Linked DNA regions of Callithrix jacchus. The protein of the gene in region 1 binds, or shares a complex with, the protein of each later gene. Links are inferred from orthologs where the notes say so. Each region holds a gene or a part of one and is shown on either strand. Other genes may lie near its edges.

Region 1 (5,912 bases):
TTCCTCTGTGCCCCGTGCCCAGGCCTGTGTGCTGCCCCCTCCTGCCTCCCAGGGGACACTGGCTCAGGTTTGGGCCTTCCCTGCTCTTGTGCCCTTCCCCTCCACCAAGCTGCTTCCTGAGTAGCCGGTGCAGCCCTGCCCTGCCCAACACTGCTGGACCTCCAGGAGTGACAGTACAGTCCCGCCCCTCCCCTGCCCCAGGGACCCCACCAGCCCATCCTCCCTGCTTCCCCGGGCACCTTTCTCAGCGCCTGCTCCGCCTCCCGGTTCTCCATGACCAGGCTGAAAACCTGTGACTGCAGCTGCAGGATCTCCTGCTGGATCTTGGCCACCCTGGCCTGCGATGCTCGGAAGTCGGCCCTCTGCTGCTTCTTGGCCTCCTGCTTAGTGCGAAGGAGGCTGTTCTCTGAGAACTTGAGCACCTGGTGCAGGTGGTTTTTCAGTTCTTGGATCACAAAGTTCTCCTTTTCCATCTGAGCCAGGAAGAGAAAGGGCTCCGTTAATACCCCCATGCCCAGCCGGGCACAGTGGCTCATGCCTGTAATCCCAACACTTTGGGAGGCTGAGGTGGGTGGATCACCTGAGGTCAGGAGTTTGAAACCAGCCTGGCCAACATGATGAAATCCTGTCTCTACTAAAAATACAAAAATTAGCTGGGCATGGTGGTGAGTGCCTGTAAGCCCAGCTACTCCGGAGGTTGACAGAATAGCTTGAACATGGGAAGTGGAGGTTGCAGGGAGTGGAGATCACACCACTGCACTCCACCCTGGGTGACAGAGTGAGACTCCATCTCAGAAAAAAACACCTCCATGCCCACTGCCAGTCACCAGAGGCTGACACCACTGCACCCTCCCTTGGAGCCAGGCATGCCACATGTGTTATTATCTCTCTCAGTCTCTCTAATCATAACCCCAACCCCACAATGGAGGTCAGGGATAGCTTGATTACAGACAAAAAAACTGAGGCTCCAGGAGGTGGCTTCATCTGTCTGTGGTTGCCCAGCTGAGCTGGGGTCTGAAGCCAGGTTTGTCTGACCTGGAGCCACCACTTTCTATTTCGTTGCACTAGTGAAGAGTACAAGCTTGTTGGATTGAGTCCACAGGGGAGGACTGGGACGGCAGTGATGCTTCTCCTGAGGACATGGCAGGGGAGGCCTGGCTGGCAGAGACACTTGGTGGGATGCATGAATGTGTATGACAAACACTGACTGAAGGGATTGCCACCAGGCTGTCTCTCAAGGGCCCATACCTGGCTTGTTCCCTGCCTTGGGTGGATTCTAGAACAGGAATGGGGTGGAGGATGGGACAGTTTTGTAAAGAAGTTCTCAAGGCTTCTCACAAACACTGGAGTCTCCATCTGAGCACAGTGGTGCTATCGCTGCTCACACCACAGTCCTGGGCTTGGGTCAGCCTGCAGCAGGCCTGCTGGGCACCTGTTCACTTCCTGCACACTGGGGGCAGGGAGGCAGCGTCTTTGAGGCAAGCCTGTCCTGCATGAAGGCTCTAGGCAGCAGGTGCGGGAGTATGCTCAGCAGTCACAGCTCTCCTGGTAGACTCCCCACCACGTCCCTGATTGGTGTCTCCCCTTCATTGTACACTGAGGTTCAATGACATGAAATTTGCTCACCTGGCAAAAATGGCATCTGACCCCAAGTTAGCCCAAGGTGAAGCCCCTTCGAATTCTAGCACCTGAATGAGACCAGCAGGGCCACCTGTGTCCCTTTGCCTATGCCTAGAGGATGTTCTTCCCACCTTACCAGTGACCTCCCTGTGCAAGGGCCCAGAAGCCCATCACCTGTCCACTCAGCAAGTATACATCATGTACTTCTTTTGGACAGGCTCACTGGGGACACAGTGGCAGGCTGAGAGAGACAAGGCCCCTCTTTTCTTGTGGAGGAGACAGACCTCTCAAGGCCACACAAAGCACACAAAGGTATGTCATCCTCATAGTCGGCTGATTGCTTTAAAGGACAAATTCAGTGAGAAGTGCCCCACCTCCCTCCCTGGGGAAGGGAGGGCAGTGAATAGCTTGCCAGTGCCTTGAACCTCTTGTCAGTGGTGGGGGAGAGAAAGAGAAGTGCTGCGGCAGTGCAGCCTGGCTAGCCCCCACGTCTGCCCTCCCCAGAGAGGCTGTGGGCTAGAATGTGTAGTAGAACAGGGTGACAGGCGGTCAGTCCTTCCTAGCACCTCTCTCTGCTGGGTGTGGCTACAAGATGTGCATAGAAGTTCTGTGGGGGGACCTCTGCATGTGTCCTTAAGGGGTGGAACCAAGCCCTCTCCTCCCCTTTCCTCCTTCCTGCTGGCTGGACCGGGGGCCACATGATGGGGAAAACTGGAGCAGCCATCTTGACCCACAGGCAGAAGTCCCATGTGGGGATCAGTAGAGAAGTCGTATCAAAGAAGCCAGACCCCCTGACAACTTGGGAAGCAGAGATGCCACACCAGCTCTGGTGTTTCTACTACAGAGAAATACATGGTTGTCTTACTAAGCCACAGCTATGTTGGGTGTCTCTGTCATAGCAGCCAAATCTGTACTTATACATCATGTCACAGGGTTTTTGTAAAGATTTAGAGAGAAAATGTATGTAAAACAAATACACTGTATGTGTCCAATATGATTATTATTAGGTTTAGGATCATGCTACCATTCCCCTTTTTTTCTTTTTTGAGATAGGGTATTTCTTTGTAGCCCAGGCTGGAGTACAGTGGTGCGATCTCAGCTCCCTGTCACCTCCAACCTCTACCTTCTGGGTTCAAGTGATCCCTCCCACCTCAGCCTCCTGAGTAGCTGGCACTACAGGTGTATACCACCACGCCCAGTTAATTTTGTCTTGTATGTAGAGATGGGGCTTCACTATGTTACCCAGGCCGGTCTCAAACTCCTAAGTTCAAGTGATCCTCCTGCCTTGGCTACCCAAAGTGTTGGGATTACAGGCATGAGCCACCATGCCCACATTTCCCTTCTTAAAAAAAATGATTCTAGCTGGTATGGTGGTATGCCTATAATCCTAGCTACTCAGGAGGCTGAAGCTGGAGGGTCTCTAAGCTAGGAGTTTGAGACCAGCCTGAGTAACAGAGTGAGACCCCATTTCTTTTTTGTATTTCTTTTCTTTTATTTATTTATGTATTTATTTATTTTAGACAGAGTCTCACTCTGTTGCACAGACTGGAGCACAATGGCACAATCTTGGCTCACTTGAACCTCCACTTCTTGGGTTCAAGCGATTCTCCTGCCTCAGCCTCCTGAATAGCTAGGATTAGAGGAGCCTGCCACCATGCCTGGCTAATTTTGTATTTTTAGTAGAGACGGGGTTTCACCATGTTGATCAGGCTGGTCTTGAACTCCTGACCTTAGGTGATCCACCTGCCTCCCAAAGTGCTGGGATTATAGGCATGAGCCATTATGCCCAGCTATTTTTTTGTATTTTTTTTAGTAGAGATGGGGTTTCGCCATGTTGGCAAGGCTGGTCTCGAACTCCCGACCTCAAGTGATCCATTCGCCTTGGCCTCCCAAAGTGCTGGTATCATAGGTGTGAGACACCAAATCTGGCCAGTGACCCCATTTATAAAAAAAAACTTAATTAGGCAGGCATGGTGGCATGTGCCTGTAGTCATAGCTACTTGGGAGGCTGAGGAAGGGGGATTTCTTGAGCCCCAGGAGTTCGAGACCAGCCTGGGCAACATAGTGAGACACCATCTCTACAAAAATTTTAAAAATTAGCCAGGCAATGTGGTGCATGCCTGTAGTTTCAGCTACACAAGAAGTTAAGGCAGGAGAATCACCCAGGAGGTCAAGGCTGCAGTGAGCTATGATCGTGCCACTGTACTCCAGCCTGGGTGATAGAGCGAGATCTTGTCTCTAAAACTAAAAACTTCAAAAGACCAAATTCCTTGATTAGGCCTCAAAGGCCCCATGTGATCTGTCTCCTTCCCCTGCTTTCCCAGCCTATCTTGGCCCTTCCCTCTAGCTCACTGGCATTCTCTGGGTTTCTGAACTAGCCAGGCTTATTCCTATCTCATGACTGAGGTACCCTCTACCCTCCACCTGGAACACAGGTTGACAAACTATGGCCCACAGGCCGAATCCAAACTTGCATTTGTTAGGGAAAGTTTTGTTCTTACACAGTCCATTCATTTACATATGGCTACTCTCCCCCATAACAGCAGAGCTGAGTTAAGTAATTGCAACAAAGACCATCTGGCCCACAAAGCCTAATGTATTTACTATCTGACCCTTAGTAGAAAAAGTTGGGGCCAGGTGCGGTGGCTCACGCCTGTAATTCCAGCACTTTGGAAGGCCGTGGCAGGAGGATCACTTGTGACCAGGAGTTCAAGACCAGCCTGGCCAACATGATAAAATTCTGTCTCTACTAAAAGTACAAAAATTAGTATCAAAAATGAGTCCGAGATCACACCACTGCACTCCAGCCTGGATGACAGGGAGAGACTCCATTTCAAAAAAAAAAAAAAAAAAAAAAAAAAGATTTGGGCCAGTGAGTGTGGCTTCTGCGGTTTCAGCAGTACTGTGAAACAGTACCTCTGCATGTCTGTCCTTCATCCTCTCCGCCAATTCATTTTCAAGAGTATCAAGGATTTGTTGGTTCATACTATTCTGTTTACTGATATCCTGTATGAACTGGGCTTTGTCCCTCGCTTCCATGGGACTAGTGAGGAGTTTTTCAAACAGGAAACCACGGAGCTCATTCAGGCTGTCAATCAAACACTGGGCTTCTGCACTTCTGCCCTGCGTCTGCATCTGCAGGAAACTGGCAGCTTGAGGGTTGCTGAGCAAGAGTCTCAGGACATTCTTGGTGGAGTCTTTGATCTGCTGCCTAAGTGGAGGGAGGCTGGATTTCTGCAGCTCTATGGACAGGCGGCGGTCTCTGAGCCACCCTTCCTCCTTAGCCTCATCCTGCTCCTGCAGCTGCCTTTCTTTTTCCTTTAGGCACCTGACGTTTTCCAGGAGGATCTGGCAGAGGTCCTCATGCTCCCTCACTGCCCTCATGATGTTCTCCCCCAGCATCCCCTCCACATCCCCTCGATTGGATGCCACATACGACAGCAGGGTCACCAGCTCCACCTTGTAGATCGCCTCATCCAGGACGGACATGATCCTTTTGGCCTCAATGGTGGTAAGTTTGGTCTTAGAGGGGACCAAGGGTTTTAGTGAGTCGGCTGGCCTTTTAGATGGGTCTGTCTTTGGCCCTATTCTGTTGATGGTGGGGACCTGGTACAAAGGCGCTATGGCGAGAATGTCTAAAGCCATCTCGTGAGCAGCCCTCTGTCCCTCTGTACGTCCTCAGAGATGGAGACTTCGGTAGACTATTTGGGTCTTGTGCTTTTATTGTCTCTGGCCATCCTGCAAAAGGAAGACGTAGGTGTTAGTGGAGCTGTGCTGACATCTGTGTGGTTAGCGTGGCTGCAGAAACCACAGCTGTTGACATCAAAAGTTCATCTTAGGTCCTCTGTCACTTTTACACAGAACCTTTCACTGAAAACAGCTTTCGGCTTTGTGAGGGTGTTAGGGCCACAAGGGCAGAAGACCAAGCGTGGAGGTGCCTCAGGCACCTGTGCCAGGCAGAGACCACCAGGATGATAGATGCCATTCAAAAGATTTAAAACCAGAGACTGGTTATGTCAGTGATGGGAGAATTGAGAGGTCAACCAGGGGAAGATAAAGCCATCCCGCAATTGTCAATGGCGGGAAGCCACCACATGAATAGGTGGTGAGCCTGGGGCCCAGAGTCACGCAGGGGATGCTTGAGCCACAGCCATCAGTTGTTCCCAGAGGAGCAAGAGACATTGCCGGAAATGCAGGTCAAAGAGGGGGGCTGTGGGAGAGGAGAAATACCCTGGCTCCTCTCTTTCTCCTGCCCTCGGCCAGAACCAGCAGGAAACTGACGAGGGATCCTG
Region 2 (5,912 bases), on another chromosome or scaffold:
ACAGCTCCCCAGGGCAAAGCACACGAGCGCACCGCCTCTGTACACACTGCAGTCTGTTCTGACTTTGCTGTTTCCGTCAGCAGCATTACCATGACACTTGCGCTCGAGGGCAAAGCCTTGGTGTTACTTGTGACTCAGCTCTCATGTTTGTCCCCTACGCTCTGTCATCATGACCCACGGATTCTGCCGCAGACAGTCCTGTATCAATCCCTTCTTTCCATTCCCATTGCCGTTGCCAGGTTAGGCCCTTATTTGGGTGCCTTCAGGATGCTGAAATAAGCTTCTAACTGGTCTCCCTGGTCCAACCTCTTTCTCATGAATCTAACAAACCGACCAGCACCAGAAAAACCTTCTCACGATCACTCACACACCTTGTGACTCATCTGCTCAAAAGCCTGTAGGACTTCTCCATTGCCCACAGGATGAATTCCAAACTCCTGATCCTGGGACTCTACAGTTTAGTCCCAGTCAATCTACTGAAGTTAATTTCCCGCTGTTTGCCAGAGCCACCCTCGGGGCCAGCTAGGCTTATTTTCTCTCTGAAATAGCATGTTCATTCCTACCTCTCCATTTTTGTTCAGACTGTTTTACACACCTAGGTCTCCCTCTCGTGAGCCCTTCGCCTAGTCTTCACCGTCTACTCATCCATTCGTTAATTCGGCAAACATTTGTTGAGATCTACTGTATGTGAGAGAATTATAATGCACAAGAGTTTACCTCTGCCCTCGACAACTTAACCATATACATTCTACCGTCTCAAAAAACCTATTTTCTCTTTAAGTCTTCCCAGACTAAGCTTTTCAGGCGGGTCCGGCCCTGGTTGATCTTCATACATTTATTTTTCTATCGTCTTCTGCTGTCTCTATTTTATGTTACTGTTATTTCCCCAGTAAGATTGTAATATCCTTGCAAGAGGGAGCAGATTTCACTGTCCTTATACCTTACTGCACTTACTGAATGCTAAACACGTAGTAGGCACACGACAGTAGGAACATCGCACTGTTTTGGGTCATTTTGACTAACTTCATGTTGTCCAATATTTAACCCAGGATTTACTTTCTTTACACTAATCCTTAGGATTAAGAAGCTGATGCTAAAAAAAAAAAAAAAAAAAAAAAAAAAAAGAAGCTGATGCTTTGAAAGTCCTAACATCCCCATCAAAATTAATCCCTAAGATCATTTTGACCATGGCATGAGAGTTCCTGGGTGGCAGCTATGATGGCGGTGTCATTCTTACTCCCACTCCCTGTATTCCCCCTAATGGATCACGCTGGAATGGTCAAGCCAGTTGTGCACGTAGATGCAGTCTTAGCTTTCCCTGCTCCAGATTACTTGCACTTTTGATTCTGTCTCAAGTGATTAGCAACTCTGAGTCATTCAGAACTCAATCTGTGAACCAGAGAGCTCTAGCTCTGTACAGGAGAAGGCAAGGTCACCAGTATGAGGATGGTTTCAGGAGACGACCTTCAGGGAAAACAAATGTACACATCAGCCTAGCAGAGGGAATTCCCAAGGAAATATGTTGGCATATGTAAGTGTGCAGGTATTATGTGTGTATATGCATATGTATGAAGGGCCATGTTCAAAGCATATATATATGGTTCCATTAACATTAAAAGAGGAAATGTTTAGTGTTAAAAATGACCTCATATTAAATTTAGGCTATATTATCTATAACTTCACCAACAGAAAAGCTTTTTAAAAAGGAATTTTTAAATTCCTTCAGCACTGTGGGAGGCCAAGATGGGTGGATCACCTCAGGTCAGGAGTTTGAGACCAGCCCGGCCATCTCTACTAAAAATACAAAAATTAGCTGGGCATGGTGGCCCACGCCTGTAATCCCAGCTACTTGAGAGGCTGAGGGAGGAGAATCACTTGAACCCAGGAAGCAGAGGTTGCAGTGAGCTGAGACTGCACTCCAGCCTGGGTGACAGAGCAAGACTCTGTCTCAAAAAAAACAAAAAAGAAAGAAATTTGTAGAGACTCCTATTCAGATCTTCAATCTGGGAAGAGGCCTTCATTTACAGTGATTGATAGTTCATGTTTTCCAGATGGCATATCTTTTATTCTGAAAATTCCATTCAGAATGACTGCAATTACAGAAGTAATCACTATACTTTACAAAATCCTCTAAGACAACAACACAGCTCCCCTTATCCTACTCTTCTTAACCCCCACAGAACAGAAACCATCCCCAAACCAAAACAGTAGGAACAGTAAATAACTTTCCACCAGAATGACTGATTCTAACGTCTCCCCATAACTTTACATGACTGCTGACAAATCATGAATTCCTCACGTAGGTCACTGTTGCAAGCACTAAATCACGCTTACCTTCTTCAGTCATGTACTTGATCAATTCGTCCTTAGTAAGAAATCCACGGTTAGCTGTATCTAAAACCTAGGGGAAAAGAAAAGATAGATATTCTATTTTTTCATTTGGTAAGTTCTACATGATGAATTTTTCACATAAATGAGCATACACGTGTGTATATAAATGTCTGTATTTATATACATGTATATGTATATAAGCTGGAGTGTACATACCTCAAAGGCTCGAAGAAGGACATCTTCTGGAATGGGTCTGTATCTATAATTATGCAATAGGTTGAGTCAGTGCCATAGTATTCACCATCGTCTCTGCGTAATAAAGCAGCAGTCTCCAACCTTTCTGGCAGTGGCGACTGGTTTCATGGAAGGAAATTTTTCCACAGACCGGGGTTGGGGGGATGGTTTGGGGATGAAACAGTTCCACCCCAGATCATCAGGCATTAGATGCTCATAAGGAGCACAACCTAGATCCCTCCCACGCGCAGTTCACAATGGGGTTTGTGCTCCGATGAGACTCTGGCACCAGCGCTGCTCTGACAGGTGGCAGCACTCACTCTCTTGCTGGTCACCTCCTCCAGTGCAGCCCAGGGGTCCCAACAGGCCAGGGACTAGTACCAGTCCATGGCCTGGTAGTTGGGGACCACTGGAATGAATAAATGACCACATAAAACAAACCAGGGCCGGGCGTGGTGGCTCACGCCTGTAATCCCAGCACTCTGGGAGGCTGAGGCAGGTGGATCACCTGAGCTCAGCAGTTCAAGACCAGCCTAGCCAACACAGTGAAACCCTGTCCCTACTAAAAATACAAAGATTATCTGGGCATGGTGGTGGGCACCTGGAATCCCAGCTACTCGGGAAGCTGAGGCGGGAGAATGGCTTGAACCTGGGAGGCAGAGGTTGCAGTGAGCTGAGATGGCGCCATGGCACTCCAGCCCAAAAAATAAAAATGAAGAAGTAAAAGCTGCTAACATACTGGGATGGTAATGCTTGCCTCGCTGAAATCTTGTTGGATTTCTGGATGTGAAAGTGGAGAACACCTCAGCCCCACAGGAAGTATTTAGTGCAAAATCACTGACATGTTTGCGGTTATCTATTAGCTTTTCAGAAATCAATTTCGGTGGGCACAAGACTTCCATGATGAACCAACTCTGGCAAGCTAATGCTATATTTGTGCTAGAAATATTAGGATTCTTTTTTATCATTGATAATTCAAAACAGAAGATAAGAATGTTGACTTATGATCTTTGTAGCTTATTTGCCCCCAATTATGCTTTGCTAAGGTTAACACGAATGTGTTTGATATTTCTAAGCATGTACCAACTGGCAGTTCAGAAGTATCTAGAAAGGTTAGAAGGAGGCCACCTTAGGAGACGCTGGTTGAACATAACATACGAAGGGAAAGAGCCAAGCGTCCTGAATGAATTCTGATCGTTGCGTTGCCTTAACAATTGCATTTACTTACTTACCTTCTTTCTAGTAGTATTTCTGTCATCACCGGAAGAAATTTTTCAAATCGAATGTATCCAGTGGGTTCTTCTTCCTCTATCTAAACATTCAATAAGTAAATAGCCATTTATCCATCCAACAAATATATTTTATTAAGATTTCTCTTTATCATTCATCTTGAACCTGTACAGTTGACACTCTGATAAGGGAGACATGCATTAATCAAGACACAGCAACAGGAAGACAGTGTGCTTGTAAATCCATGTAAGCACAGTGAAGGGAAGGAGCACGGGTCTGTAGGAACAGTCAATAGAGAACCCTCGGCCAGGCGCAGTGGCGCACACCTGTAATCCCAGCACTTTGGGAGGCCAAGACACGCGGATCACTTGAGGTCAGGAGTTCAAGACCAGCCTGACCAACATGGTGAACCCCCCATCTCTACTAAAAATACAAAAATTAGCTGGGCATAGTGGCACACACCTGTAGGCCCAGCTACACAGGAGGCTGAGGCAGGAGAATCGCTGAACCTGGGAGATGGGGTTGCAGTGAGCCGAGATCGTACCACTGCACTGCAGCCTGGGCGACAGAGTGAGACTCCATGTCAAAATAAATAAATAGAGCACCTCTTAGACCGGGAGGCCAGGGAAGTCATTCACGAGGAAATAACACTCCAGCTGATTTAGAAAGGATGAGTAGAAGGTAATGAGACGAAGACGGGAGGGAGAGACTCTCACAAAGAGGAAACTGCACGCACTGAGACTCTGCTGACACACTGGAGGCTAGGAGGCTGGAGTACAAGGAGCAACGAGAAGGCTTCAAGACGAGGCTAGGGAGAGGCAGGGCAGACTGCAGGGCCTCCTTGCCCGTGACAGTGATAAGGCTGCTGGCCCAAAAACAGTGGGAAATCACCGACGGTCTCGCTGATGCATGTTTTGAAAGAGCACACTGGTTGAGGGTGAGGCAGCTTTTTCAGTAGTCTAAGCAGGTATGACAAGGGCTTAGACTGGAGTGGTGGCTATGGAGAGAGAAATGGATGGCTTCAAGAAATATTTAAGAAGCGGAATTGATAGGACCTGGTCTTGCATTCATTATGAGTAACGATGGAAGAAAACAGAGGATTCAAGGATGACTCCCAGGATGCTGACTGACACCACTGAGATAAGGTGATGCTTTTCCCTGAGACAAGAAACCCTGAATGAGGGACCAGGTTAGAGCACACGCCGCCATCGCAAGGACCAACTACATCTTAAATCATCATAATATGTATTAAGCACCTCCATGGTAGACAGAGCTTGGTCATACCGCCCCTAGATTAGAAGACTACACCTAAGAGGATGATTGGGACTTGGCACTATTAAATGAGAACGAAACAGATCCCTGCCTGTGGGTTCGGCTTGGATGCAGCAGCTGAACATAACACCACTGACCTTAACTTTCCTGTCAGGCTGTCTATAGCGAGCTGTAAATTTTCCATTCCCTTTCAAAAATCTCATTAAAAGGCTCATAGATCCCAATTCAGCAGATGAGTTTTGGACAGATTTATTCTTGGAGCAAAAACGAAGAAAACACCTACAGGTTGCTGCTAAGTGTGACACAACGTCATCCAAATGACTAGTGTTTTTAACACTTACACCAGATTCACACCTAGCGTGGTGGAACCTCCGACTCCACCATCAGCAGAAAATTCAACGCATTCAATGACAGAATTGTGTGTTTCAGAACTGCTGAGCCCGCCGATTCATGAACAGTTGTCTTCAGCTGCTTCTAGGTTGAAGGTGAGCATTGCAAGTTAATGTTCACGTGGCTCCGCTGCTTGAGCATCGCTCTGCAACTCCCTACCTGGCAGCCTCGGACAAATAGAACGTCAGTCTCACGAGGTTATCTCCAGAGGAGTTTTAAAATGAAAACGATGAGTTGGCTATTCTGACTCCTCCAGAAATTTGCTCCAGAAGCAAGAGCAATGGTCTCTTCCCTTTCCTCCCACCACCGAGCCACTGTAGAACCCTCTTTATCTTACATGCACCCTCATCAAGCCACAAACTGTTTTTCAAAGGAAGTCAACTCCATACTTCTGTCTCCATCATGGAAGAACTCACAAATAACACATAATATATGCCTCATATCGCTTCCCCGGG

The links.
Region 2: DRC10 (region 1) and DRC8 share a complex: the UniProt entries of both Homo sapiens proteins name them as parts of the nexin-dynein regulatory complex. The link is inferred for Callithrix jacchus from reciprocal best matches to the Homo sapiens genes DRC10 and DRC8.

The regions. Positions count from the first base shown.
Region 1 is NC_133510.1:116,174,350-116,180,261, forward strand, and holds part of DRC10 (dynein regulatory complex protein 10), read right to left. Parts: intron 5,359-5,912; 5' UTR 5,266-5,358; coding exon 4,537-5,265; intron 474-4,536; coding exon 240-473; intron 1-239. UniProt on the Homo sapiens protein: Component of the nexin-dynein regulatory complex (N-DRC), a key regulator of ciliary/flagellar motility which maintains the alignment and integrity of the distal axoneme and regulates microtubule sliding in motile axonemes.
Region 2 is NC_133520.1:41,146,239-41,152,150, forward strand, and holds part of DRC8 (dynein regulatory complex protein 8), read right to left. Parts: exon of another isoform or gene 3,878-5,912; coding exon 3,798-3,877; exon of another isoform or gene 2,591-3,797; coding exon 2,548-2,590; exon of another isoform or gene 2,402-2,547; coding exon 2,335-2,401; exon of another isoform or gene 1-2,334. UniProt on the Homo sapiens protein: Component of the nexin-dynein regulatory complex (N-DRC), a key regulator of ciliary/flagellar motility which maintains the alignment and integrity of the distal axoneme and regulates microtubule sliding in motile axonemes.